Rattus norvegicus: one gene and its partners. The main gene of each other region encodes a partner of the protein of the gene in region 2 in a complex. Links are inferred from orthologs where the notes say so. Each region holds a gene or a part of one and is shown on either strand. Other genes may lie near its edges. The genes, in order: Sh3bp1, Abl1 and Crk.

Region 1 (9,766 bases), on a different chromosome or scaffold from region 2:
AGGGTTCCTTGAAGCCTTTTGAACTGTGGAAGTAGGGGTGGGCAAGGAAGTCACCAAAGCCCCAGGAAAACACACCTTGCCTGGCTGCTGTGGGCAGAAACCAATTGGAGGCTTTCGAGTATAGCCACAGTCAAGCTGTGTGGCAGCGGCTCAACTAGTAGAATGAAGCCAACGACCTCCACCCCGGCCTGCCTACCAGCTGCCCTGACCACATCCGCCCAAGTCACATTAGCAGATGCCACCCAGAGTGTCATAGGGATTGCCGGCAAATCTGTGTGAAGACTGGTCAGTTCCTCAGTGGCCATCAGGAAGGCAGGAGCAAGGGCCAGCCTTGAAGGAGTTTCTAGGCAACAGTGTACACAGCAGAAAGACAGCAATAATGCTTCCTAGGACGTCGGTCTGCCTTCTGACCTGGCCTCTACTGCACAGTCAGTGGGGTGTGCACATCTGCCAAAAGGAGGCAAAGATACCGACCTTAGGGAAGAATGACCCAAGGGACACATCAGTAAATTCTGGCCTAAGGCAGCCATACAAATGTCAAGGGCAACTAAGGCAGGGGTAGTCAAAGCTCTTCTCTCCGTCAGGAAGACATTTGAAAAATAACAGCAGACAATGCCAGGCACTTTTCTGAGAATTTTACACGCTAATTCCTGTAATCCTATTAAGTTATGTTGTTTGTGGCTGAGGGGTGAGCTTTCTTATCCAAGGTCTTTCAGTTTGTGTGCTGATGAGAAAACCCCCCCTGCCCCACACCCCAAGCCAAATGGCTGTTCTTTGGGGATGCAGGTAATCACAGATCTGATACCGTGAGCCCCAGAGGCTGAGATAGATAAACAGGCTCATAGTTTAGGGAAGGGCCCAGGGAGGGGTTGGCTAGTGACCTCTGAGGTACTTTTGTGCAGTTCTAAAGTCCATGGTCCTTTGAGTGGTTCTTGGCCATATATAACTATAATATCTACTACTGGAGAGACAAGAGCACCACAAGTTCAAGACTAGTTGGACAACTTTGTGGGACTGGCTCAAAAAAAATAAAAAAGGGGGCTGGCAAAACAGCTCAGTGCGTGAAGGTTCTGCCATCATGCATGAGAACCTGAGTTTGAACCCCAACGTGGTGGAAGGAGAGAGAGAACTGACTCCCATCCATTGTCCTCCGACTGCCCTACGAGAGTTGTGATGTTTACACACATGTGTGCACACGCACGCAGTCAATAAAAATTGTGATGGAGCTAGAGAGCTGGCTCAGAGATTAATTTAAGGCTGCCCTTCTAGAGAACGAGGTTCGATTCCCAGCACCCCCATGGTGGTTCACAATAATCTGTCCTCCACTGCATCTCATGGTTCAAAGACACACATGCAGGCAAAACACGTGTATGCATAAAATTAAACTTTAAAAAAATTTAAATTTACTAATCAAAGCTTCTGATTACAACATTCTTTGACGGAATCGCCTGTGATCCAACCTTCAGGGCTTCCAACCCTCAATGATTCAACACCAAGGTCACCCAGCCAAGAAGTACAGCAACTCTATCTGCTCAGATCCAGAAGGTCCCCAGGTCTGGCTGCAGAGAAAGCCAGAACTGGAGACAGGAGGGAGGGGCTAGCAAGGGCTTGGATGGGCTGGTAATACACTCTGGTCATTTCCAAAAGACAGAAAAGAAACCTGCTATTTCAGCCCAGGGAGCTGTCCCCTCCCCAGGCTAGTTAGTACTAGGCCTGGACGAGCCTAGGAGGCATAGAGTATAAGCCAGGCCAACCTAGTGGTACCTTCCCGACCAGCCGACCAGCCATGGACATGAAGGCAGAAGCACCAGAGATCAGAGACTTCCCTAGAGGCGAGAAAGTGCTTCCTGGAGCTGGACTCATCAGCTTCCTAAGCCTCACCCAGTAGAATGTACCCATTGCCAAGGGAGGGAAAACTGAAACGGAAAGAATGTTTTAGGTAGGACCTGGATGATGGGGGGGTGGGGGAAAGGCTAGGACTAGAAGCAAGATATCTCAAGTCTTTACACATTAGGAGGCCAGCAGCTCTAGACCACTCTAGTATCCCCCCAAGGCTGGCCCCTCTCTGGAATCTTCTGCCATCTCTTCTCCAAACACTGGCCAGCAGCCTTCTTCTCATTAGTAAATGAAAGGTAAGGAGTCTGTGCTGCGGTCTCAACTCCCCACCGCAGAGCCAGGATTCCACTGCTGAGGAGCTGTTCCTGGCTGGGATGTTCTGGTTCTTGCCGCTGGCTTCCCCAGTCTCCATAGGACTTTTTTTTTTTTTTTTCCCGGAGCTGGGGACCGAACCCAGGGCCTTGCTAGTCAAGCGCTCTACCACTGAGCTAAATCCCCAACCCCCAGGACTTTTTTTTTTCTTTCTTTCTTTCTTTTTTTCCAGAGCTGAGGACGGGACCCAGGGCCTTGCGCTTCCTAGGCAAGCGCTCTACCATTGAGCTAAATCCCCAGCCCCTCCGTAGGGCTTCTTCTTAAATGAGTAAAGTGGCTGCCTGCTCCCAGTGAGTGCCTGTGCTGAGTACAAGATGTCTTGGGCAAAGGGAATGTCTTCAAGAAGCACACCAACTGTCTACCCCCACACAGTAGGTGCTCAAGTGGTGCCGGCTCTGAACTGAAACTAACCGAGCAGAGCAAAGCTCAGTGTGGTGTTCAGGGCTTCCTGTAGCTGCCCCTCCCCCTCCCCAAGCCTGAAGGGTGTACACTAGAGTCAGCTTACTATTGCCTACGGGCTCTCTGGCCCTGTAGTTATGAACACCTAATGTATGCCCAGGCTGGTTTTCAGCCGAGTATTTCGACGAGAAAACTTCTATCTGGTTTGGGGGCTCAGAGCAGCACCCATAGTAAGGCCTGACAAGAAGGAAGGGCAGGGACCAGGGACATTTGCTAGAAGAAATGAGAGTTATGCAGATAGAAGAAGCTGTCCAAGCTCAGGACCCTTAAAGTGTGGAGCGGAGACAGGAGTTCTAGGGCTGAGGAGCAGGCTGGGGTATCTTGTTTACCCTGTGGCATAGACTGGTCCAGGGCAGTTGTCCTATCGAGCCACTATACACAGTGAATGTAGAACTTTGGACATTAGTCCCTGGTGGTCCCCAGGTACCCCAAGTTCCCAGTCAGTTTTCCAGCAGGCATGAGGGATGGTCAGGGAATGGTATGGTGGAGAAGTCTCCAAGGAGCATCTCCTAGTGACTGGCCTGCACAGGTTCCTGAAGGCCTGTCTCTGGCCTGTCCCTTCTAGGCAGCCTTTTTTTCCCTTTAAGAGAGCAAAGGTTGTTTATACCCAGGGCGGTGGTGGCAGGAGCAGCTTACCTGCTTCCCGCCACCCGCCGCGGCGACCGGGCAGGGTGCGGGAAGGAAGAGCCCGCACTCAACTGTGGACCGCAGAGAGACAGACCGGCGGACACTCGGCAGGAGAACGGCCCGGGGGTCGTTGTGGCCCGGAAGCAGTGAGAGAGCGAGACTCCAAACTTGGAGAAAGGAGTGACCTGGGGTCCGGGGGCGGAGTCGTGAGCGGGGGAGGAGAGCGCCCGCGCCAGCGCCAGCACCAGCCGGAGGAGCGCGCCGGCCCAGGAAGCCAGAGCGCCGCCCACCCATCCGGGGCGAAGCGCGCGGGGAAGCAGGCTGGGCCGGGGGCTGCCAGCCTCAACCCCTTAGGTGACTCCTCGGCTCCCAGCCCGGACCCAAGATGATGAAGAGGCAGCTGCACCGCATGCGGCAGCTGGCCCACACGGGCAGCTCGGGACGGTGAGTGTCACCCGCTTCTAGCTGTGCTGTCGTCTCGCAGGACCTGAGCGGGCGCTGGAGAGTGGGGAACCGGTCAAAGAGGTCGAAGACATCTGGATAGCGGCCCTTCGGCATTCCAGAGCCCTGACCTGGCTCCCTGGGGTCTGAAGCCACTGTGGTCGTACAGGCTTAGCTGGCTTTTGCAGGAGGTTGGGGGGTTGGGGGGGGCACCTCCATTCCTGATTGAAGAGGCTGCAGAGAGCAGAGAGCAGAATGCGCCCTGAGCCAGGACTCTGCCTGGAACCTCATTTGTCCCCTCTGGACAATGGGAACAATTAACCACCTCTAACTGGAGGGAAGGGGAGGAATGGAGCGAATCGGGGGCGCCCCAGACCCTGGGGGAAGGGACTGGCAGTGTTCTGGCTTGGGGAGGTGGGGCCTGCTCTGCTTTGGGTGTCCGTCCCCTCCCCCAGCCCAGGGGCCTCCTGCCTTTTGGTCCTGCTTCTGCTTTCGCAGGCTCAGGTAGAGACACCGCTTGGTCTTCTCGGTTCCCAGCTCCACAACTATGGGAGCGGAAGTTTGGGGAGTTTCTCGGAGCTTTTCTTTCTGTCCCTCTTCCCCAGCCTGGGAGTTCCCCATTCTTTGGGCCCAGAGAGGTGACTGTGTATCCAGAAACTTGATAGTCCTACAGTGACACAAATACTTACATGTACCTACGGAAGCCAAGCCACTTTGCCCTGAACCTATGTCCCTATGTATCTTTGGGCAGAGTCCCTGGACCTGCCCACAGCCGCAGTTCAATGTCGTGTGCCTGTGGGCCTGGCCACCCCGAGACCAGCTTCCACACTTCCCGTTCTGGGGGCCAGCTTAGGCCTCCTCTTTCCGGGCCAGGCAAACAATTTGGGGGATGGGAAGATGAGAAACTTTTCCTCTGTCCCAAAGTTGGGCCTTGGGTAGCTCCCTCCTGCCTTTTTGGTGTCATGGGTCCACCCTCTCTCAGGACACAGCCCTGGGTGGAGGAGGAAGCAGGCATGGAATGTGCCCCAGCTCCCATGTGGATGGGCCACCCAGGCTTGGCGGGTCCTGGAAGCAACTTGGGCTCAGGTTCCATATGCAGGGGATAGAGGGAGGCAGTGGGTATCCTAACCCAGACTGACTCAGCAGAAGCCCCCTTCCCCCACAGCACCCCTGAGACTGCCGAGTTCTTGGGTGAGGACCTGCTGCAGGTACGTGCCTGGGCGGGCTGGGCTGGGAGGCAGGTCCGTGCAAGCTGTCAGTATAGAGGCTGGCAGGCAGGGACAGCAGTCAAGGGCCTGGTTGTGTCATTCCTTGCTGGCCAGGGGAGGGGGGGTGGGGGGTGGGGGGTGGGACAGGGGAAAGGGGTCCTTGTTCTGGTGGAGAAAACAGAGCAATGAGAGAGGGTCCCTCACAATATACAGCCCCCACATGTCCCTCCCCTGTACCTCCCAGGTAGAGCAGCGGTTGGAACCAGCTAAGCGAGCAGCCCACAATGTTCACAAAAGGCTGCAGGCCTGTCTGCAGGGCCAAAGCGGGGCTGACATGGACAAGCGGGTGGTAAGTGGGATCTCCGGGAGGAAGAGACCTGTGAGGTGAAGGACGGGGTGGGAATGAGGCGCTCTGGGTGCTCTGTGGCGTCTGAGCTTTGCTCCCAGCTAGTACGCCCCCCAAGTGGTCTAGGTGGGCGGAACACCATCTGAACTGGATGGAGGATGCTCACTGCTACCCAGCAGGCAGCGTTTTCTGACTCCTGCTACTCCCGTTGCTAAGACTGCCAATGCATTGTCTCCCCACTGCTGGCAACGGCCCTGGCGACACCCCCTTGTACAAGTCACCTGTGTATAATGGGAAACCGAGATCTAAACTTAGCAGCCCAAGATCACACAGGTGGCAAGTCACAAAAGTGGCCCTGGGGTCCCTCTGATTGTAAATGTAGTGTTTTCTATAACTCCTGGCGGAAGTCCGGGGATAGTTAAAAATTCACGTGGCCGGAGCTGGAGGATCCTCTCAGCAAAGCACTTGCTCTTGGAGAGACCTGGGTTCAGTTCCTATCACCCACGAGATTCACCACTGTACAGTCGCAGGGACTCCGACATGCTCTCTAGTCTGCTAAGAACACCAAGCATGCCTGCCCCCTCCCTGCTGCCCCAGAAGAGGGTCTGGGTGTGAGGCAATAGATACCTTGGGGAGCTTGGGCTACAGAATAATCGGATTAACCACCTAGGCCATAAGGCTGGGAAAGGAGGTTAGGCCATCCCACCCTAGCCACAAGACCAGCTCTTTGCAGGGGTGTAACCTTGGGACAGCTTACTACTCCCTCCCTCTGCGTAGTCTAGTCTCCCTGGGATTGCTCATTCCTTCTTGTCCAGTCAAGTAGCTTCTAGAAGGGAAAGAGGGAGGGATCCCAGGTCTGTGTGAGATGTGTGCATGAGTTGGGGGGGCACACCATCATCATCCAGTTTCCCCCTATGAATGTGGGTCTGTTCAGTTGGCTCTTCCCTCTGCTGATGTATGGGTTTGGCTGGGTGCTGTGGGCTCAGGTAAGGTGGAGGAAACTCGCAAACTCAGGCTCACTCACCCTTCCCTCCCTGCAGAAGAAGCTTCCCCTCATGGCTCTTTCTACCGCAATGGCTGAAAGCTTCAAGGAGTTGGATCCCGATTCCAGCATGGGGTGAGCATAGTTGGGGCCTGGCTCTTCACTAAAGAATGCCAGGAAGCAATGAGGGGGTCAGATCAGCCAGGGTGTCTACCTGGCTGGGTAGGATGGATGACCAAGCTGGGGTGAGGGACCAAGGGAGCCTTGGCCCACTGGGAATCTCTGTCCACAGGAAAGCCTTAGAGATGAGCTGTGCCATCCAGAACCAGCTGGCCAGAATCCTAGCAGAGTTTGAGATGACCCTGGAGAGAGATGTCCTGCAGCCGCTCAACAGGCTGAGCGAGGTGACTGTGCACCCCCACGCTCCCAGCTTCCCCAGCTTCCTGCTGTCCCTGCCCCCACCAGACCCCCTGAGCCCTCCCTGTGCCTGCCCTCAGGAGGAGCTGCCTGCCATCCTCAAGCGCAAGAAGAGCCTTCAGAAGCTGGTGTCTGACTGGAACACCCTCAAAAGCAGGTGGGCACCTGAGTCTAGGTCAAGTCATAGGTCGAGGGTTCTGCAGGCCCCGCTGGGTCCTTGTGGCCATGCTGGTCCTTGAGAACACATGTGGTAAAGGCATGTGTATGTGAAGGTGTGCATATGTTCCCTTGTGCCACAGGTGACCCCAAACCAGGAAAACCACTAGTCTCCAAGATCCCTAGATGGTTCTAGAGCTCCCTCCTATTCTGTATTCTGGAGCCAAGTAGTTGCGATCACCAGGACCACCACCAGAAGGAGGCCTAGAGCACTTTGGCCTAGTCTGGGCAGAGGCCCAAGGAATTTCTATTTTGCCTCTGTAAACCCTAGAGTCCTGTGTGATTACGTGTATGGAGGGGACACTTAGCTCTGGCCCTGCAATGGGGCCAGTGACCACCCACTTTGGGACCCTCCCCAGGCTCAGCCAGGCAGCCAAGAACTCGGGAAGCAGCCAAAGCCTGGGTGGTGGCTCAAGCAGTCACACCCACATGGCCACTGCCAACAAGGTGGAGACGCTGAAGGAAGACGAGGAGGAGCTGAAGAGAAAGGTGGAACAGTGCAAGGTGAGATGATTTGGGATGTCTGCATAGACGACAGGTGTGGGTCCATTTTACCGACGGGAACATTGAAGTGTGCGGGCAGCACTGTGGGTTTTTTTTTTTTTTTTGTTTTTTGTTTTTTGTTTTCTTTTTTTCGGAGCTGGGGACCGAACCCAGGGCCTTGCGCTTGCTAGGCAAGCGCTCTACCGCTGAGCTAAATCCCCAACCCCAGCACTGTGTTTTAAACCCAGGTAGAATTTATGTAGTGGGGCACCACCCAGGACCTCTGCTATATTTATCGTGTATGTTAACAGCTGGGATGTGGTTGTTCACTGGATGCTTAACGTTGAATGAATGAATGAATGAATGAATGAATGAATGAATGAATGAGTGGTGTTTGCTGAGTGAATGAATAGTATTTGTAGGATGAATGATTGTTGGGTGTTTTTGCTGGGTAAGATAATGAATGAATGAGTGAGCAGTGTTTGCTGAGTAATGAGTGAATGATGTTCATGGAGTAAAGCAAGAATGAATGAATGAATGAATGATTGCATGGCGAGCACAGGATTCCCCGCCTCACCCATCCTCTCCCTTCTGTCCTCAAGGATGAGTACCTGGCTGATCTCTACCACTTCTCCACCAAGGAGGACTCATATGCCAACTACTTTACTCATGTGAGTCCATGGTCCAGTTCCAGCCACCAGCACCGCTGGGGGCCTCCGAGAGATGGCGGGTGTCTGTTCTGGAGACGCTGGGAAAGTCTCCACTTTTCTCACTGGTCCTGGGGGATGGCCTTTGTCTCCACAGCTCCTGGAGATTCAGGCTGACTACCATCGCAAGTCACTAACCTCCCTTGACACGGCCCTAGCTGAGCTGAGGGACAACCACAGCCAAGCAGGTGGGGACATGAATGAACCAGCCTCACCTCTGACCTTACAATGCTAAACGTTTGCTCCTTACTAGGCAGAGTGACAAACACTTTAATCTGGGGCACTTGGGTGGTGGAGACAGGTGGATCTCTGAGTTTGAAGTCAGCCTAGTCTACATAGAGAGTTCCAGGAGACTACCCTGTCTTGAAAAACAAAAACAAACAAAAAGTTTGCTCCTTATCCTGAAAGGCAGTAGAGAGTTGTGGAGCAGGGAGCAGGCTGGATTAGGTCTTCGGGGGCTGGCTTTCTACTGCTGTGGAGGATAGAGAAGGAACATGAGACCTTCTAGAAGGTTGGGATCTGGGCTAGGCAGAGCAGTGGGGGTGGGCAGATCCAAGATGGTTGTGTGTGTGGTACTGAAACAGGGTGGAAGGCGGATTCCTGGAGGTGCCCTGTCTGCCCTGGCCCTACTGCCTGGGGCAGAAAGGACCAGGCTACTGATGTGTCTCATTCCCACAGACTCCTCCCCCTTGACGACGGCTGCCCCCTTCTCCAGAGTATATGGGGTGTCCCTGAGAACCCACCTGCAAGATCTAGGCCGTGACATTGCCCTGCCCATCGAGGCTTGTGTCCTGTTGCTGCTGTCGGAGGGCATGCAGGAGGAGGTAGGAGCTGAGACATGAGGGGTGGGGGGAGTGACAGGGCTCCATGCCACCCCTTGCTGGTACCCATAGTTCCCTTCTCTGAGAGACCTAACCTCCCATTGCTGACCTGGACTCTGCCTCATTGAATAGGATTTCAGGGGCCTTGCACTGTCCCACAGATACTGAGCAGTCTTTGCTCTAAGATCCTCTTGGACTCTGTTTGGCAAGGGGGAGAGAGTCAAAGATTAAATGGACCAAGAATCATCTGAGGAACCCGGGGTCCTCGGTTCAGTCCATGATCCATGCTGGGCTTTTCCTGAAAATAGGCCTTAGGTGAAAAATGACCCAACCATGAGTGGATTGCTGGCTCCTCACCAACCATGCTGAGCCTTCTTTCCCCTTCCACCCTTAACAAGACTACTTCTCCACTGATCTCCCTGCCCCACACACTTCCCAGTTCTGCCCTCTGCTCAGAATTCCAGACCTTGGGAGTTGGGAGGGCCCATAGACACCATCATATACTGACCACCACCGGCGGGGACACTGAGGCCGGGCAGCCTGCTCCTGCTCTGCCCTCTGTGATGCACAGCCTGTTCCTTCCTGCACCCTAGGGCCTCTTCCGTCTGGCTGCTGGGGCCTCTGTGCTGAAGCGCCTTAAGCAGACCATGGCCTCAGATCCCCACAGCCTGGAGGAATTCTGCTCGGACCCCCATGCTGTAGCAGGTACCTGATCCCCTGGGAGTTCTAGGCAGAAGGGGGGACTGGGGCAGAGCTATCTAAGGTAACACTATCAGAGTTTGGCTTTAGGCCTGATAATGGTACCAAAGAAACACCACTATGGGGCACTTGGGGGTTCCGTGATGAATCCT
Region 2 (8,997 bases):
AGAGCTGGTGGCCCATTGCTGATTTCCCGGCCGTCATCCTCACTAGCCCCTCTGCGTTCTGACTGGCCATCCATCTCTCGGAAGGAACTGCTGCGCTTAGGGGGCGTCGGCGCCATTTTCTTCTTCTTCTTGATCAAGGCGCTGAACAGGTTGGTCTTTTTGTCTTTGGGGAGGAGACGCTCATCTTCATTTAGGCTGCCGTCCGGGGGCCCACGCTCTTTCCGAGGAAGCAGTGGTGATACAGCAGGTTCACTGTCCAGTGCGTCTGAAACAGAGGAGAGAGTGAGCAACAGTGCCCAGCAAACGCTGCCTCAGGGCTAGCGACCCACTGTGGGGAGGCTCCGCATGGCGTGTCTGCACCCTCGGCCTTCATGGCACGAGCAGCTCGGAGCTCAGCACCACTGGAGGGCGGAAGACACAGCTGTGGCACTCCTCACGGCTCGGCCTTGTCATCGATATCATGATGACCCCTGTCACCGTCAGTAGAAGTAAAAGTCTCTCTCCCTGAACCCAGAGGGTCAAGGGCTGGAATGACCCTGCCTTCCTCATCCTGAAGCCTGTTAAAGCTGTGGAGCCCTCCACTGTCAGCAGAATGACAATGCCAAGTCAGACCTGCTGAGGGGAAGACATCAGCTGTCCCACGGGGGCATGACAATCAGCTGCTGTGACAACAGGGCAAGATGACCTTTACGAAACTTCACATGGGTATTTTTAAAACACGAGGGACATGGCTGGGCAGAGGTGCCTGCACCCTACACTCAGGAGGCAGAGGCAGCCAGATCTCTGAGTTTGGGGCCAGCCCAGTCTACAGAGTTCCAGGTCAGCTAGGGCTACACAGAGAAACCCTGTCTTGAAAAACAAAACAAAAAAGAAGCCTTTGTGCTGTCAGGCACTGCAGCCAACTGTACAAGGCTTCCTTCTGTCAGCCTCCAGGATGGAGGTAGACTGTGCAGCTGTCCTAAGACTGGTAGACATGAGCATCAGAATGAGGCAAGCAGAGGACCTGGGTCTCTACTGGGTCACAGAGCCACACCCAGAGCACAATGTTTGGGGCACTCCTGGCTCAGCAGATGACCTACCCAAAACTTCAGTAATGACACTGATGGAACAATCTCCCTCTCTCTCTCTCTCTCTCTCTCTCTCTCTCTCTCTCTCTCTCTCTCATCACTGCTCTCTCATCACTGGCTTTTTCTTTTCTTTTTTTTTTAATTTATTTATTTTATTTATATGTTAGTACACTGTCGTTCTCTTCTGACACTTCAGAAGAGAGCATCTCATTACAGATGGTTGTGAGCCACCATGTGGTTGCTGGGAATTGAACTCAGGACCTCTGGAAGAGCAGTCAGTGCTCTTAACCGCTGAGCCATCTCTCCAGCCCACACTGGCCTTTTCTAGTCGATGCTCCTGCAGCAGCTTCTCTTTCCCACTGCCAATGACCTGACAGCATGGCAGCCGATGGGGAAGACAGCACAGCTTGTGTGCTGCAGCTGACACAGGCGACACAGGGGAGGGAGATGATCCAGTGGCTCTACAATTTGGACTTTCTTGTTTATATAAACTTTCTTAAGACACACATGTGTGTGCACATGCCACAGCATATCTGTAGAGGTCAGAGGATAAGCGCAGGCATCAGTTCTCCCTCCCGAGGTTGTTTGAGGTAGTGTGTCTGTCGTTTACTGCTGTGTGTATAACACTAAGTGGCCCTTACATTTCTGAGGAGTCTCCTGCTGCCCCCTCCTGTCTCTGAGGAGTACCGGGAGTTTCGGACGTGTTTCCACATGTGACTCTGACTACTACTCAGCACTTCCCACTGAGCCACGCCCTCGTCTCGCATGCAAACTTCCAAACACACTCCTTTAGCACCTGTGTCTGGATAGCTTTATGACACAGTGACAGTCACCTGAGCAGAGAGCCTCAAATGAGAACACCCTTCCATAAGACTGGGCTATGGACAAGCCTGTGGAACATTTTTTTTTTTTCCGGAGCTGGGGACCGAACCCAGGGCCTTGCGCTCGCTAGGCAAGCGCTCTACCGCTGAGCTAAATCCCCAACCCTGGAACATTTTTTTAATTAGTGACTGATGGGGTGGGCCCAGCCCATTGTGAGTGGGGCCATCCCCAGGATGGTGATCACAGGCTCTATAAGAAAGCAGGCTGAGGAAGCCACAGGGAGCAAGGCAATAAGCAGCACCCTCCATGGCCTCTGCATCAGCTCCTGCTCCAGTTCCTGCCCTGACTGAGTTCCTGTCCTACTGGAGTGGATGATGACTTGTAGTGTGGAAGCATATGCTAAGGAACCACCGCTTTCCTCCTGCATCCTGCAGTCATAGCGCTTCCCGGCAGCAATCGTGACCCTGACTGAGACAGTCCCTAGAGCCCTTTTATGCTCTGTAGGTTTGACCATCAGCAGGAGTATAGGTTTAGAATTACAACTGTTTAAACAACAGAACTGTGGAGTCTGCTGAGCAATGCCTCCCATGAATTCCTAGCAGAATCAAACTTTATCCTGCCTGGTCCCACACAACCAGGCCGACGGCCCATCAGCCCATGATGGGAGCCCTCGGGGCCCTTTGAGTTCAGGGACGGGCGAGCAGCCCCCAGGTCAACTGACTTTAGTGGGTCTGCAGGAGAGGCGGATGCTGTTGTCCTGGCACTTACTCAGGGCACAGCCGGCATGCAAGAAGCTGCAGACACTTGTCATACTATCCCTGTAGATCTCCCCAGCTCCAGTGCCCTAACTGAGCCTGCAGACAGTTCACGGAGACAGCCTTTCTAGAGACCACACGGAACTCAGTGCTGACTGAGCCCGGACTGCTCCGTGGGCTCCATGTTGTTTAGTGCTGTGACTGCCCTGGAAGATGCCCACAGGGCTGTGAAGAGCACAGCAAAGGTGGATGTGCTTTCTTGGCAGGAGTCCCAGTTTTCAGCTTGTCTAAGCAACTGCTGAAAGGCTCCCCTGGGCAAGAGGCAAATCTTCTTCCCTGGGCTGGACCACTGAGGAGGGACTGATGCCCTCTGTGCCAGGCCCACTGACGGCTTCTGCTTGCCTGCCTGGTTTGAGGGGTGAGGGATGGGAAGGGCGGACGTACCGCTTTCGCCCAGGCCCTTCGTGTGGAGCAGTTCCAGGGCGTCAGGTGCATCTTTCTGCTCAGCGGTTTTCCTGCAGGTTCTGGTCTTGGTGGGCAGCTCTGGGGCCTGCAGGGTGCTCCCGGCGGCTCCTCTCATGCCTCGTTTCCCCAGCTCCTTCTCCACCTCTAAGGACCACATAAACATAACCCAGTAGTCATCAGCAAAGATGCCAGATTGCAAGGGATTCTTTTTTCTTTGCTCTTTTTCTAATTTATTTTAAAGTTACTTTTTTTATGTGTATGGCATTTTGCCTGCAGGTATGTCTGTGTACCACATGGGTGCAGAGGCCAGAAGCTGGTAATGGATCCTCTGTGACTAGTGTCGTGGGTTACCATCATCTGGGTGCTGAGAACTGACCCCAAGTCCTCTTAGCCACCATGCTAGCTCTCCAGTTCCTGGGATTCTCTTTTTCTTAAGATTTATGCAGTTAGAGAAAAGGAACACAAAGCAGAAGAAACAGCTCTTGGCATGTTCTAGAACTCTGCATGCCTGCACCTGACAGACACAGAGCCACCACCAAAGCCTCTGAAGAGTGCTGTCTGGTACCAGGTCTGAAGTGAAGGCTTGTCCAGCCTCAACCCAACCCTCAACCCACTGCAGGCCCCTGGGAGGCATGTTACCGTCTGAGATGCTGGACTCCTGGAACATGGTTTCAAAGGCTTGATGGATTTCAGCAAAGGAGGGCCGATCAGAGGGGTTCCACTGCCAACCTGGACAGAGAAGGCCACGTCAGAGCAGCCGGAGAGCATCGCTAACAAACCAGAACTAGCCACACCCAAGGAGCAGTCTGGACATGAAAGAGGCATTCCAAGCCTGCTGATGGCTGAGGCTGGGACAGGCTAATGGCAAAAACTCCTGTGTCCTCTGACAGACACTAAGAATTAAGAAGACATCATATACAGGCAGTAATACTGTTTGCAAAATCCCAGAGACACCGATAATAAAAACCACATCTATAAACATTTCTCCAAACCCCAGTGATAGACAGGGAGTTAACAAGGCAACAGCCTGCCTCGGTCACCATCCTTACTGATGCTATCAGTGTCTACCGTCCCCATTAGCACAGACGAGCATCTCTCTTGCTTCTTTGAGATTAGACCTCATTACTGTCTGGGCTGTTTGACAAGCAATACTCCTGCCTCAGCTTACCTTGCACTGAGACCACAGCCTGTATCACCAATAGCATGACAACGAGACTAAAAGGACTAGGGCTTGGAGAGGTGGCTCAGCAGCTCAGAGCCTTGCTGCTCTTGCACAGGACCCAGGTTCAGTTCCCAGTACCCATGGGACTCACAACCGTCTGCAACATCACTGGTTTGTTATCACAGCACAGATTCTTTGGACCTACGGCCCAGCTTTTAGGAATATCGTGCTACATGTAGAGACGAGGCTAATCGTGTGTGTCTGCCTTATACGCAGCAGCAAACACAGGGCCACAAAATGGCACACTCTGCCAAGACTGATGCTAAGTTTGACCACTGGGATCCACACAGTAGAAAAAGAGAATCAGCTCTTCAAAACTGTACACTGTAGAATGCATGCCCCATAAACAAACAAACAAAATAAATAATAAAAATATAATTAAAGCAAACAAGTGTGTAAAATATGAGTGGATGCTTCAAACTGTTAACTGAAATGCTAGACAGCAGCATTAATGAAGGTAGGGAACATGGTGAGGAAGATCTAAGTATACAGACAGCAGCACTATATGCTAGGAAAAAAAGGTGAGGGAATGATCACATGAACACATGATACAGCCATGTGCACACATGCACACCACACAGATGCGCTCATACACTCGCACAATACAAACACCAGAGTTCTATCATCTGGAGCGATTTGTAGCCAGGTATTTGGAAGCAGGACCTAGGGATCTGTACTAATAATACCCAGGTTGACATCTAACCCTCTCTATGCTTAAAGAACTTAAAGCGACCTGGGCATGGTGACTCATACCTGTAGTCCTCGAGCTTGTGTGGTTCAAGCAGGAGAGTCACTGTGTAGTCAGGGCTACATAGTTCAAGACCCTGATCCAAAACAAAAACCAAACAAAAACCAAAACTAGCTGTCCCAGAGGGAGACAAAACCAACCCAGAGGTACTACATCTGGGAATAAGCGCACGGAAGACTCAAAGTCACACTGCATGGATGGCTTGGGAACACAGGGACAGAGTGCCAGGGCCCACTGGAATGGCTTTGTGCAATTTCCTCAGAGTAGTGCTGAATGGGTTGGGGAGGCTCACATGCTCGCATGAGTTCGTAGACTTTCTCTGGGCAGCCTTCCGGGCGCTCCATGCGGTAGTCTTTTTCCAGCAGCTCATAAACCTGAGACAGGTCAATTCCCGGGTAAGGTGACATGCCATAGGTAGCAATTTCCCAGAGCAATACTCCAAATGCTGAAAGAAAGAGGGAGAGGAAGACTATCAGGGTGTGTGAGCATTGGCCAGTGAGGTAGCATCTGCACAAAGCTAATGACCTTTCAATCCTGAAACCCGGCATAAAGGTGGAAGGAGAGAAGTTGTCCACAGAGTTGTGCTCTGACAGTCACATGTGTGCCATAGCATGCACACAACCAAACAGACATATCACACACATACATACCAAAACACCCAAACACACACCCCGCCCCCAACACACACAGGACATACAGGCATTTTCCACGCTGTGCAGCAGAGAGACCTGCAGAGCAGTCCCAGCATTGACAGTTACCAGGCTCTCCATGGTAATAGCCTAGGAGAGGTAGGACAGAGCAAAGCTGTTTACTCAAGCTACTCTAAAGCATGCAAGGGAGAGAGGGGAAGGTGAGCCTCCTGGGGCACAGGGTCCCCCTCGGGTAGGCAGCATAGGGCTCTAAGTCAGCTGCCATGTTCTGAGCATAGCTCTGTGACTGTAGCCACATGCCTGTCGGGCCGTGGGTTGTTTGAAGGTGAGATTACTTCCAAGGTCCCTTCCAGCTGCAACAGTTTGTAAAAATCTTGTGAACTGTCAAAGTCGTGGCATCCTTCTTCCCACTAAGAACCAGGATTCCTTAGAAAAACAGGTGATTGAGACCTAAGACAGGGAAGAAGCCCGGACTATCTTGTTCCCTGGAGCACAGATATTGTGGAAGACTACAGGGTACTGTCAAAGGACAAGGAAGGAGACGGCCAGAGATGAGGAGAAGAAGCACAGTATACTGGAACACAGGAATGTGTCAACAAAGAACTCAGAGTGACACCACAAAACACTAGCAAATCAACTGCCACCAGCACAGGGCACTTGGAAAAGTGGGAGACATGAAAGGCAGTTTCTGAACCCACCACTCCTATACGAAGTCTACCACTGGACAACCAAGGACACAGAGGCTTTTCCTTTTATACTCCATGGCTACAGCCTGTTGAGAATACCACTGACCATCAATTGCTGCTACACCGTATCCCTCCAGTGCAGCGGTGTCTCAGCCTTCCTGATGCTGGGACCCTTAATACGGTTCCTCATGGTGTGGTGACCCCAAGCATCGAATTATTTTCATTGCTACTTCATAATTACAATTTTGTTATTGTTATAGATTATAATGCAAATATTTTTGGAAATAGGTTGTCAAAAGGGTCATGACCCACAGGTTGAGAATCACTGTACCAGAGGGAGAAAACTCAAGCATAGATCAACCAACCTAAAACCATCAGCCTCAGGGGTTGGGGATTTAGCTCAGTGGTAGAGCGCTTGCCTAGCAAGCGCAAGGCCCTGGGTTCGGTCCCCAGCTCCGAAACAAAAGAAAACAAAAAAAAAAAAAAAAAAACCTCAAACAAACAAACAACCCATCAGCCTCTGCTAACGTACTGAATGAAAGAAAAGTCAACTCAAATGTCAGCAGCTAACCAGACCTGACCCAGATCACAGCACAGAGACACAGTGAACACAGTCTAGAATCTAGACAGTCTAAAGAAAAGGGACAGAGTTTATCAATAAATGACCAGCAGGGAAATACAATCAGTGATGGCAGACCCAGGATAAAGACACACAGGACACATCAATGCATTGAGAGAGGCATGTCTGGTTCCCAAGTGAGGCAAATACTGAAATGTGTGTGTGCAAAATCATGTCTGGAGTTTGCTTTAAAATAACAAGAGGAAAGGGAGTAGGCGGGGCACAGGGCTCACTACTCAACTCCACCTTCTTTGATTACTCTTGGCATGAAAAGTTCTTAAAGCTGGGCAGTGGTGGAGCACACCTTTAATCCTAGCACTTGGGAGGCAGAGGCAGAGGCGGAGGCAGGTGGATTTCTGCCTACAGATTGAGTTCCAGGACAGTTGCAGTTGTATAGAGAGATCCTATCTCAGAAAAAAAAGTTCTTTTTTTTTTTTGGAGCTGAGGACTGAACCCAGGGCCCTGCGCTTGCTAGGCAAGGGCTCTACCACTGAGCTAAATCCCCAACCCCCAAAAAGAAGCTCTTTAAAAATGAAAATAAACAACAGGTGACACTTCCACATGAAGTGCCCTGTTTACAGCCCAAGCCAAAGTGACCAGCTTTCTGCAGAGAATATGATTCTGGATGCCGCCCCAGGGTGGGCTCTGGCATCATCAAATCCAAGCAGCAATATGGAATGAAGACCTGAAGGTGGTGCTATTCTGGATCATTCTAGAAGTGGCTTTTGCTTTATTTGTTAAAGAAAAGAACAAACAGGAGTTTAAAATAAGCCAGAAACAAACCAGAAAGACTGTGGTGATGGAGGAGAGATGGAGGTGTGGCAGTAAAGAGTGAAGGAAGTAGAAGGGGAGTCCCCTGGCCAGGACTGGCCAGGATCTGGCCCTTACCCCAGACGTCCGACTTGATGGAGAACTTGTTATAGGCCAGGCTCTCGGGTGCAGTCCACTTGATGGGGAACTTGGCTCCAGCATGGGCTGTGTAGGTGTCCCCTGTCATCAACCTGCTTAGGCCAAAATCAGCCACCTTCACCAAGTGGTTTTCCCCTACCAGGCAGTTCCGGGCAGCAAGGTCTCTGAGAAAAGAAAAGGGTCATCTGCGGGTGCTCCTGGCTGACACCCTTCCTGTGTCGCTCCCTACTACTGACAGGCATGATGCTGACAAGGAAGATTCAGTGTGGCCCCCAGAAGCTTCCGAATGCCCTGCCGTGGAGCGACCATTCCTCAGCAAATACTAGTCAGGCTGTGTAGCACGGGCAGGGCAGACACAGTGGAAATGGGGCAGTTCTGCCCCACGACCTGGAGCCTGTTAATTACCTTGGAACTTGGCTACCTCATCCATGACACGAAGACGGTAACCAAGCGTGCCTTGGGCAGCTGTGGTATCCCTACTTTCCTCTTGCTTCCTGATGCAGACTCCAGTGTGTTTGAGAAACTCTCCTGTATAATCACCTCCTGAATCTCCAAGAGAGGAAGGGTCTAATCTCTGGTTCATGGATGTTAACCATGAAATCCTGAGGCAAATGGGAACGGAGGAATGAGAGGATGAGGGAGCTCGGGCAATGACTGCATGCTACAGATTGATCACCAGCAGCGGGAGAGAAATGAAACACACAGCGTTGTGCCTAATAGGATTTTGGGAAGGCATTTTAGTGTGTGAATGGAAGGGGAACGGGGCTGGCCATGCAAGGCGAGCCAGAAGTCAGGAAATCTCAATTTGCAGCATCAGAGGCTACACTTTGCTGAGCGACAGGAGCATTTGGATTGGGCTCTCGTGGAGCAGAAAAAGATCTGTCTTCCGAGGGGCTGCCAGCATTTCACACATGCTACTTATTCCTGGCCATGAAATCTCATGTCGAGGTTTCACACTTGAGTTAATTGGGTAGGAAAGGTCACCACAGTGGCGTGGAGAACATCTTGCATGACGGAGTTGGGCCAAGCCCATCAGGCTCCCTCAGGCTCCCTC
Region 3 (9,652 bases), on a different chromosome or scaffold from region 2:
TTGTCTGAAAGAAGAGAGGGGTGGTCTTAAAATGTAACTTGGATGCAAAAAACTCCAGCATGCACAAAGCCCTGGGTTTGATCCCAAGACCTGCACACAAAAACAGAAAGGAGAGAGAAGTTAAAGAGGAATCATTGTAAACCATGAAGACCAACTTGGTGGATGGGACATCACTTTTTCTTGGTTCAGAAGTTCTACATAGCCTTGGCTGTCCTGAAACACAATGTATATTCTGGGCTGGCCTCAGACTCACAAAGATCCACTTGCCTGGGTCTCCTGAGTACTGGGATTAAAACCACTATGCACAGCTTACTTTAGAGTGCTTTAAAAAAAGATGCATTTATTTATTTTACGTATATGAGTACACTATTGCTGGCACACCAGAAGAGGCCACTGAATCTCATTACAGATGGCTGTGAGCCACCACTGTGTGGTTGCTGAGAACTGAACTCAGGACCTCTGAAAGGGCGGTCGGTGCTCTTAACCACTGAGCCATTTCTCTAGCCCAAGAACTTTCTTTCTTTCTTTCTTTCTTTCTTTCTTTATTTATTTTCTTTTTTTCGGAGCTGGGGACCGAACCCAGGGCCTTGTGCTCGCTAGGCAAGCGCTCTACCGCTGAGCTAAATCCCCAACCCCGAGAACTTTATTTTTTATTTATTTGTTTTTGGTTATTTTGAGGCAGGATTTTTCCGTAGCCCTGGCTGTCCTGGAACTCACTCTCTAGACAGGCTGACCTCAAACTCAGAGACCCACCTGCCTCTGCCTTCCAAAGTTGAGTGCTACCGTGGCCAGTAAGAACTTTAATTTGAAAGCACACACACTTTTTCCTCCTGACCTTGAGAATTAATACTTTTTTAGCCTTAACTGTCTGTTGCGCTAACTTCATTACACTTGTTATCTATTACCACAACCACTCTAATTAGCACTACAATTAGCAGAGCATCCCAAGTTGTTACATAGCTTATGATGCAGCTCTGGTGACTTTAGGAGACACAGAACACACAGAGAAGCAGACTGTCCTGTCTACTCTCTGCTTCTCTGGCACTAGAATAAGGGCTGGCTTTCTTTTAGTCGAGACTCCTCGGAGGGTTGGATGCACTTTGCTCTTGGATTACAGAGTCTTCCATTTCTCTTCTCCTTGCATCTGTGTCTCTCAGGGAGATCGTTCCCTCTCTTCCTTCCTGGCCCCAACCCACACCAGGAATCCTTCTTTAGGAGGTCATTTCCTTTGTGGGGAACATCTCAGGCTTATCAAGGAGCAAAACCTACCATTGTGACTGAAATCCTTTGGCTCCTTAGGTACAAAAGAAGGGGAGGGAAGAAAGGGCTAAGGGTCAAATGAGAGTGCTAAATTCTCCTTGCTGGGTGACCTCTGACTCCTGCTGGCTTTGGGGTTACAGATTCTTAGTGTCGAGGAAGGTCACACTAGAGAGGCCATGTCTCCTCTACTGATGGAACTTCCCTGTTTATTTTGCAGTTCAGTTATTAGATGTGTTTGAGTGTTTTGCCATCAAGCATGTATGTGTACCACATGTAAGTTCGATGCCTGTAGAGGTCAGAAGAGGACAATGGATCCCTGGGAACTGCAATCCCCAGTGGTTGGACGGCTGTGAGCTGCTGTGTGGGTGTTGAGAATGGAAACCTCAGATTCTCTGCAAGAGCAGCTGCTCTTTTTTTTTTTTTTTTTTTTTTTTCAGAGCTGGGGACCGAACCCAGGGCTTTGCGCTTGCTAGGCAAGAGCTCTACTGCTGAGCCAAATCCCCAACCCCTAGAGCAGCTGCTCTTAAGTGATGAGCCCAGTTGTAATTTTTTTTTATGTTGTTTTTACAGACAGAATCTTAATAATTAGGGCTGGCTAGCTTGGAACTCACTATGTTGACCAGATTGGCCTCAAACTTGCAATGCTTTTCCTGCTTCTGTGAATGCCAAGGATACCGAGATGGGCAGACACACTTGCTTTAGGAGAAAGCTTAATTGTTTTTGTTAATTAAAATATTTAATGGTGGTGGAATATGCTTTAATCTAGCACTGGGGAGGCAGAGACAGGCAGATCTCGGATTTTGAGACCAGCTTGGTTTAGAGAGTGAGTTCCAGGACAGTCAGGACTGCACAGAGAAACCCTGTCTAGAATTTTTTTTTAAAAAGATTTGTTTTATTTATATGAGTACACTGAAGCTGTCTTCAGATATACCAGAAGAGGGCATCGGATCCCATTACAGATGGTTGTGAACCACCATGTGGTTGCTGGGAATTGAACTCAGGACCTCAGGAAGAGCAGTCAGTGCTCTTAACTGCTGAGCCATCTCTCCAGCCCCTAGAATTTTTTTTAATTTTATGCAATATATACTAGTGTTTTGCCTGCGTGAATGTCTTTGTACCTGTGGGAGTCTAGAAGAGTATGCTGGACACTCTGGAAATGGAGTTTTGGACAGTTATGAATTGTCATGTGGGTGCTTGTATTCAAACCTGGTTCCTCTACAAGAGCAGCAAATCTTAACTGCTGAGCCTTCTCTCCAGCCTCTGAAAAGAGTATTTTCAAAGAAAAAAGAAGGCCAGGTGTGGTGACACACACCTTTAAGACCCTTAATTCTACTTGAGAGGCAGAAGCAGGTGGATCTCCATGACTTTGGGGCTAGCAAGTGTGGTTTACATAGTGAATTCCAGGCCAAAACAGGTGAGCCTCCATCTAAAAAGAAAAAAAGAAATGAAATCAATGAGGAGGTGGAGGGCTGGTGAGATGGCTCAGCAGGTAAAGAGATTTGCTGCCAAGCCTGAGGTCCAGAGTTTTGAACCCCGGTACCTACGTGGCAGAAGGAAAGAACCAATTCCCTCAAACTGTCCTCTGACCTTCACACACAAATGAACAAATACATAAGTAAGTAAATGTAAAAATTATAAAAGAATGTGGGAAACAAAGAAGATTTTGCCATAGTGGTGCACACCAGTAATCCCAGTAGGAGGATCAGAAGTTCAAGGCCATCCACAGCTCTGTCATGAAGGAGGCCAGCCTGAGATACATAAGACTATGCAATGGTAAATGAATACATATTTCTTCTTGGGGAGGCAAAGCCAGGCAGGTCTCTGCCAGTTTGAGGCCAAGCTGATGTGCCGTCCAGAACTGCATAGTGGTACCTTGTTTAAACAAACAAGCAAGCAAAACAAATCTCTCTTTCCTTTTCACTTATCCTAAGAGCTGGGTTTGGACTTTCCCAGAGTCTCTGGTTAAGGTCTTGCCTTGAAGCTCAGCTGTCCTGAAAAGGGAGAAAGGGTAGCCCTTTTTCCCAAAGGGCCAGAATTTACACTGAATGGCCTCTGCTGCTGGTTCCGGTGACTAAGCTAGACCAAGATGAGTCACTGATAACAGGGAAGGTGCCCTTTCCCCTGCTGTCTCTCCCAGGGCTGGCTCAGGCTATGGGTGGAAGTTCTAGAAGGCCTGAGCTATTGACTAGGACAAGGATAACTTTAGTTTTGTTTTGAGACAGGGTCTCACTATATACAAAACGCAGTAGTAGTGGCTAGGCAGAGGTGGTGCATACCTTTGATCCCAGCACTGGGGAGGCAGAGGCAGGTGGATCTTTGAGTTCAAGGTCAGCCTGCTCTATAAAGTGAGTTCCAGGAGAGCAAGAGCTATCAGAGAAACCCTATCCTGAACACCCCACTCCCCAGTATTTTTTCATTAAAAATTTTTTTTGAGATAGATGATGATCATGAAGGAAGTGAAACTAGGAGATTCCTCTGGCTACAAATGAGAGTTTAAAAGGATCTGGCTGGTTGACATGGGAGCTCCCATAGAGAGAACTCCATTGCTTTGCCTGGCTGGACATTTTGTTTTCTTTGCCTTAAGTACCCTTCCCCACTTGCCATTCAACACCGAACCATTCAACCTACACCATCTCATCTGTGGACTCCTTGTTCTTATTTGCTTTCGTTTTATAATATAGGGCCTGAAACACAGTGATCCTCCTGTCTCAGTTTCCTAAGGGTTGGGATTACTGTCATAGTCACTTTACCCGGCCCTTGGATTCCTCTAGGATTACTTAGTTGATTTCCTTGTGTCTCTGTTTCCCATCACAGCAGACATTAATGGTTTCCTGATCCCTCCCACTGGTCTGTGAATTCGGTGACTTAAGGCTCAGTCTAGGTCAGTACTGCACCTGCAAGGCAAATGTGTTATCTATGGCTACTCCTAGATAGCAAGAACTTCGACTGACCTCCGGGGAAACCGAAGGAAACACCGGGAAAGACCAGCTTGTTAGGGAGCTTTGAGGGCATCCTGGGACCACATCATCTTTTTTACTCCAGTCCTTTTACTGGAGCTGCTACCTGTAGGTCCTGGGAGAAAGACCGCCTCTACCAATCTGTCAAACACCAGTTAGTCAAACACCAGTCAGTCTGAAGATTGAGGCTCCGCCCCTTAAACCTAGACTCCGCCTCCCCATCCTCCGCCGTTGGGGTTCTGGACCGGGCGGCGACGCCCATGAGGACGCATGCGCACTGCGGGCCCCAAGGACTCCGTTTCCCTTCTCCCAATGGCGGGCGGCGGTCCCCTTCCCGGCAGCCTCCCTCGGGTAGAGAGCGCGTCATTTCCGGTGGGGAAGGCCCGCGGCTGCCGCCGCCATTTCGGGCGCTGCTGGGAGGCTTACACCGGAGCCGGTCCGCTGGGCGGCGGGCGCCAGGGCTGGAGGGGCGCGCGTGCCGGCGGCGGCCCAGCGTGAAGGCGCGGAGGCGGCCATGGCAGGCAACTTCGACTCGGAGGAGCGGAGTAGCTGGTACTGGGGCCGCTTGAGCCGGCAGGAGGCGGTGGCGCTATTGCAGGGCCAGCGGCACGGGGTTTTCCTGGTGCGGGACTCGAGCACCAGCCCCGGGGACTATGTGCTCAGCGTCTCCGAAAACTCGCGCGTCTCCCACTACATCATCAACAGCAGCGGCCCGCGCCCTCCAGTGCCTCCGTCGCCCGCTCAGCCTCCGCCGGGTGAGGGACAGACGGGCGGGAGGCCCGGGCGGGGGTGAAGGCCCTAGAACCCTGGTCGGCTGCAGGAGGGACGTGGGCAGAGAGGGCTGGAGTGAACCTGGCGGGGGAGCTGCCTTCTGACCAAGCTGGTTCCCACCGATGAGCGGGATTGTGGGGGAGGAGGAGCTGCTCACCGAGGCCTCTGGGTGTGCCTTGGGAGCCGGGGAAGGGGAACTGCTGCGGCCCCGGGGTGGGGCTGGGCGCCAGGGTCAGGCCCAAGGGCAGGGCAGGGCAGGGCCAGGCAACTTGGGGACAAAGAGTTAATGGGGATGTTGCGGGGACATCATTTGGCAGAGATGCCCAGAATGGATCTGCTAATCCTACAAGTGGCTTTTAGGCTTGAAACGTTTCCTGCAGTGTTAGAGCTGGGTTTGGCCATACTCCCCTGGTGGCCTTCGGTAGGAAGTCACCACGTACTTGGCTGGCTGGGAGGGATGGAGACACCCTCAGGAAGCCGGTCAGCTTTTTCCTTTCTTGGGCATTTTTCCAAAATCTTTTTACCGTGCTCTTCCCTTGTGGAAGGTGGTGAACTAAGTGACTTGGTAATAGAAAAAAAGCTTTCTGTGACCAGCCCAGCGTAATTGAAGCCTAGCTGGCAAATTGTGTCCAAGAGGTTTTAAGTGTCCAAAAGACTGCCCGCTGCACGTAGAGTTTCTAGTTTCAAAGTGATTAGTGGAGGAAGGTTTTTTTTTTCCTTTAGGAAATAAACCAAGCATAGGCCAGGGAGAACAACCTTGGAAGTGAATGGAATTTCATTCTTCCTGGGCTTAAACAGTGTCAGTCAACGTACTTCTGGGTCTTTTCTTGCTAAGTTGGTGCTGTGGTCAAAATCTTCCAGGATATGAGAGCAGACCTAGCTGGCAGATACACCAAGAATAATTATCCCGCTGTGTTTTCCTCATCGAGGACCATTGAGTTGTAATTGTCTCAGCTGTATTATTGCAGTTGTCTTGGCAATGTTAAGGAAATTCATGCACTTCGTCCTTGAAGTTTGTGAGATGCACAGTGATTCTGAGATTACTGTTGTCTCTGTGTGTTGGCACCAAGCTTCTTGCTTTCTGGATGTTTGAAGTGCAAGCTTGTTCCTCCTAGAGCTGAGCTAATCTCATGAATGGAGACTCCCTGGTTAGCCGTTTAGTAGACCTCCTTTTAGGATCATCCTAATTTAGACTTACTCCCTTTGGCCACAAATGAGGAGGTAGAGGTGGGATAAACAGTTCTTGGTGTTGGCACACAAGTAAGGGGAAAATTTGAGTACTGAAGTCTTCTTAGTCTTTTTGTGTCTGTTGGTTTAATAATATAAAATCAGATACAACACAATTGCCCTAAACATAGTAAATTCTATTTTTGTGCTATCTGTAAAATAATCTGTTGTTTTGTGTTAAGGGCAGTAGTAAGATGAAATGTTATTGTTGAAATTCAATTCTCAGCCAAGTTTCATAATTCATGCTTTTAATCCCAGCACCTAGGAGGCTGAGGCAAGATTTTACAAGTTCCAGGTCATCTGGGAAACTTAGCAAGATTCTGCCTCAAAATAAAAAGTTATGTTAGGGGGTGTGACTAGGGATATAGTTGAGTGGTAGTTTATTTGCCTGACATTTGGGGAGGCTAGGTTTTATTCCCAATAGCTGGGGGTGAGGGACTCGGTCCTCAGTTTTCTCCTTGTTTGAAAATGTGGGACTAGCATCAGGCAGGCTTGTGGTTTTATATCTCGGTAGCTCCACCTTTTCAAAATAGGTGTTTGGCCTAGGAGAGGAGAAGATTGCCAGTTTGTGGGTTAGGTGTGGAAAGTTCATTGGCTTTGTGGCAATTTGTTCTGTCGTGTTCCCCATTTTCTCTGTAGGACACTCAATTCACTTGCTGTCTTTATGATGGTCACTTAATCGCTGTTCTGCCATCCATTAAACTGTTTTTCTTTTGAAGCCACACAGGAATTACTTGAGTTTTAGAGAGACATATATAATTTTAATAGTTTACACTTATTGACTGACTATTGTATGCTACATGCTTTGCTAAATGTGCCTTATATAATTCACCATCAGTAAAACAATCCAATGAGTGAAATTCTGCAATCTCCATTTATTAAAACATTTTCATTTGGAGGTGGGGAGAAGAACTAGAAATCCAGTAACCTGTAACATTTAGCATATAAACCAGAATTTGAACTAGACAGTGTGACCTGAGAACTGACTATTGTATAATTTTGGTATTCTTTGTTTATTTGCTTTGGAATCCCTGGGGTGCACATAGGGAACTCCATTCTTTTGTTTTGAAACAGGGTTTCACTCTGCAGCCCTAGCTGGTCTGCAACCATATAAACTAGGCTGGCTTTGAACTCAGGAGAATTCTTGCTTCTGCCATCTGAGTGCTCTGAGATCCCGCAGAGTGGCTCAGTAGGCAAAAGCACAGCTTTGCCAGCTTGAGGGTCTTGTTTGATCCTCAATCCCGGGGTTGGATAAGAGAAGGAACACCTCAGAGTTGTCCTGACTTCCACAGACTCACATCAGTCATGCACATACTGTAGTTCTGGCTGGCCTAGAACTGATTACACTTGTGTGCACACACTGTAGAGGCATGTGGGTAAGACAGGCCAGGGATTGTTGCATTATCCCACTTATTTTTTGAGATAGAATCTTTTTGTAGTCCTGACATGGGACTCTCTGTGTAGACCAGGCTAATTTCTTTCTTTTTAAAGATTTATTTATTATGTACAGTGTTTTGCCTACATGACAGAAGAGTGTGCCTAGATCACATTATAGATGGTAGTGAGGCACCATGTGGTTGCTGGGAATTGAACTCAGGACCTTTGGAAGCATAGTCAGTGTGTTCAACCTCTGAGCCATCTCTCCAGCCCCCAAACCAGGCTAATTTCTCCTGCCTTTGTCTCCCTGTTAGGATGAGCCATCGGCCCAGCTCAATGACCCTATTTGAACCTAGCATAGATGTTTAGCTCCCACAGATGATCTAAGCTATGATGATGGCCTAGGAACGTCTTTACTGTGCCCCAGAGCTATAGGGGGAAGTCTGTTGGAGTTTACTGGTCATGTTCTGCAAGGTGGGCTTCAAAGAGAAGACTTGGGAGAATTGATCCACTAATTTCCTCCACTTGAAATGATCGAGGACTAGACTTTGACTGATAGAGGCCTCTAAACTGAATGAGAAGTTGGGATGTACCCAGCTTCTGTCAATTGATAGAATTTTCATTCTAGCAAGAATGAAGGCCCTGGTTTCAATCCCAGGTCACACAGACCAGGCTTAGTGACACAGGCCTGCAATTGTAATCCCAGCATTTAGGAGATAAAGCTAGATTTTCTCAGGCCGGGCGGGGAATTAGAAGCCAAAATCCAAACTTGAATGAAAATACACATGTATAATTTCAAGACTGGGTCTCTAGTTCTGGTTGTGCATTGGTGGTTTGCCTGCATGTATGTTTGTGTCAGGGTATTGGATCCTTGGTACTGGAGTTACAGCCGCTGCTCCCGACTGCTGAACTATCTCTACAGCCCCACCTGCTACTTCTTACTTGTATAACTTTGGACACTTTTTTTAAAAAGTTATTTATTTATGTAAATGAGTACACTGTCACTGTCTTCAGACACATCAGAAGAGGGTATCAGATGGTTGTGAGCCACCATGTGGTTGCTGGGACTTGAACTGTCCACAGAGCTATCTCTCCAGCCCCCAATTTTTGTTTTTTAAAGTTTGCTACAATTTTTTCATTTGTGAAAGTTGGAAAATAGCAATACTTCATAAGGTGAGCTATTGTAATGAGTAAATGGATTCATATGCAATATGTAAGACACTTGAATGTGGCAGGCATATTTCATAAAGACCCAGGTTATAAATTTAATCTTAAGAATATAATGATGTTAGAAGATGATTCAAGTGGAAGGAAAAGCCTCTCAGCTGTGAAAGGTTCTCGACACGCACAATGTGGTTGGTAAACACACAGTGTCTTAGTAATGCTGGGTAGAAAGGGGTAGAGGGCTTGAGGTTGAGAACCTTGGGTCTACAGTGTTTCGATTGCTGTTACTGTTGCCTAGTAGGTGGGTGAGTCTCAGACCTTAACTTGGGCTGGGGATATAGCTTACAGTGTTTGCTTACAAGGTCCTGGCTATGGTCATCTTATCTCATTTTGGAGATGGATGGTCAGGGTATGCTCCAAATGTAATGGTTCCAGGGAAGTTCTTTCTTGATTTTCTTCTTTAATTTTATGTATATGGTTTTTTGCCTACAAGTGTAGATATATGTACATGCAGTGCCTGCTGAGGCCAGAAGAGGGCATTAGACTCTGGAATTGGATTGGTTTTGAGTGCTGAGAACTGAACCCACCTAGGTCCTCTGCAGAGCAGCATGTGCTCTTAACTGCTGAGCCATCGCTCGGCTGCTCTCCAGAGAAGTTCTTTAGTAATCATTGAGAAACTTTATGCAACAACAACAAAAGATGTCCCATGGTAAGATAAAATAAGTTTATTAACTGTAGAACTTGCCACAGCTTTACCACACTCCTGTGAATTGTAAATTTCCTGGAGAGAATTTTGAGTTAATCAGACTATTCTGCTTTCTAGGATTACCGAGATACTGTGGTACCTTCTCTGGCAAAAAGTGTAGTTCAAAGATTTTTGGGTGAAGTAAAATTTT

Evidence for each region.
Region 1: the proteins of Abl1 (region 2) and Sh3bp1 are in contact, whole or in part, in a crystal structure (PDB 1ABO), measured with the Mus musculus proteins. The link is inferred for Rattus norvegicus from reciprocal best matches to the Homo sapiens genes ABL1 and SH3BP1. Residues at the interface, in NP_033724.2 of Mus musculus: Tyr70, Phe72, Ser75, Gly76, Asp77, Thr79, Asn94, Glu98, Trp99, Trp110, Pro112, Asn114, Tyr115; in NP_001303613.1 of Mus musculus: Ala607, Pro608, Thr609, Met610, Pro611, Pro612, Pro613, Leu614, Pro615, Pro616.
Region 3: the proteins of Abl1 (region 2) and Crk are in contact, whole or in part, in an NMR structure (PDB 1JU5), measured with the Homo sapiens proteins. The link is inferred for Rattus norvegicus from reciprocal best matches to the Homo sapiens genes ABL1 and CRK. Residues at the interface, in NP_005148.2 of Homo sapiens: Tyr70, Phe72, Asp77, Asn78, Thr79, Asn94, His95, Asn96, Gly97, Glu98, Trp99, Trp110, Pro112, Ser113, Asn114, Tyr115; in NP_058431.2 of Homo sapiens: Pro44, Asp46, Asn63, Gly66, Pro67, Arg68, Pro69, Pro70, Val71, Pro72, Pro73, Ser74, Pro75, Pro80, Gly81, Ser83, Pro84, Ser85.

The regions. Positions count from the first base shown.
Region 1 is NC_086025.1:112,334,579-112,344,344, forward strand, and holds the start of Sh3bp1 (SH3 domain-binding protein 1), read left to right. Parts: upstream 1-3,679; coding exon 3,680-3,738; intron 3,739-3,778; exon of another isoform or gene 3,779-4,900; coding exon 4,901-4,943; intron 4,944-5,187; coding exon 5,188-5,292; intron 5,293-6,329; coding exon 6,330-6,406; intron 6,407-6,563; coding exon 6,564-6,675; intron 6,676-6,768; coding exon 6,769-6,845; intron 6,846-7,263; coding exon 7,264-7,408; intron 7,409-7,989; coding exon 7,990-8,058; intron 8,059-8,191; coding exon 8,192-8,282; intron 8,283-8,772; coding exon 8,773-8,918; intron 8,919-9,508; coding exon 9,509-9,620; intron 9,621-9,766. UniProt on the Homo sapiens protein: GTPase activating protein (GAP) which specifically converts GTP-bound Rho-type GTPases including RAC1 and CDC42 in their inactive GDP-bound form.
Region 2 is NC_086021.1:35,468,947-35,477,943, reverse strand, and holds part of Abl1 (tyrosine-protein kinase ABL1), read right to left. Parts: intron 8,108-8,997; coding exon 7,923-8,107; intron 5,525-7,922; coding exon 5,372-5,524; intron 3,839-5,371; coding exon 3,749-3,838; intron 3,254-3,748; coding exon 3,089-3,253; intron 266-3,088; coding exon 1-265. UniProt on the Homo sapiens protein: Non-receptor tyrosine-protein kinase that plays a role in many key processes linked to cell growth and survival such as cytoskeleton remodeling in response to extracellular stimuli, cell motility and adhesion, receptor endocytosis, autophagy, DNA damage response and apoptosis.
Region 3 is NC_086028.1:61,024,225-61,033,876, forward strand, and holds the start of Crk (adapter molecule crk), read left to right. Parts: upstream 1-4,692; 5' UTR 4,693-4,731; coding exon 4,732-4,972; intron 4,973-9,652. UniProt on the Homo sapiens protein: Involved in cell branching and adhesion mediated by BCAR1-CRK-RAPGEF1 signaling and activation of RAP1.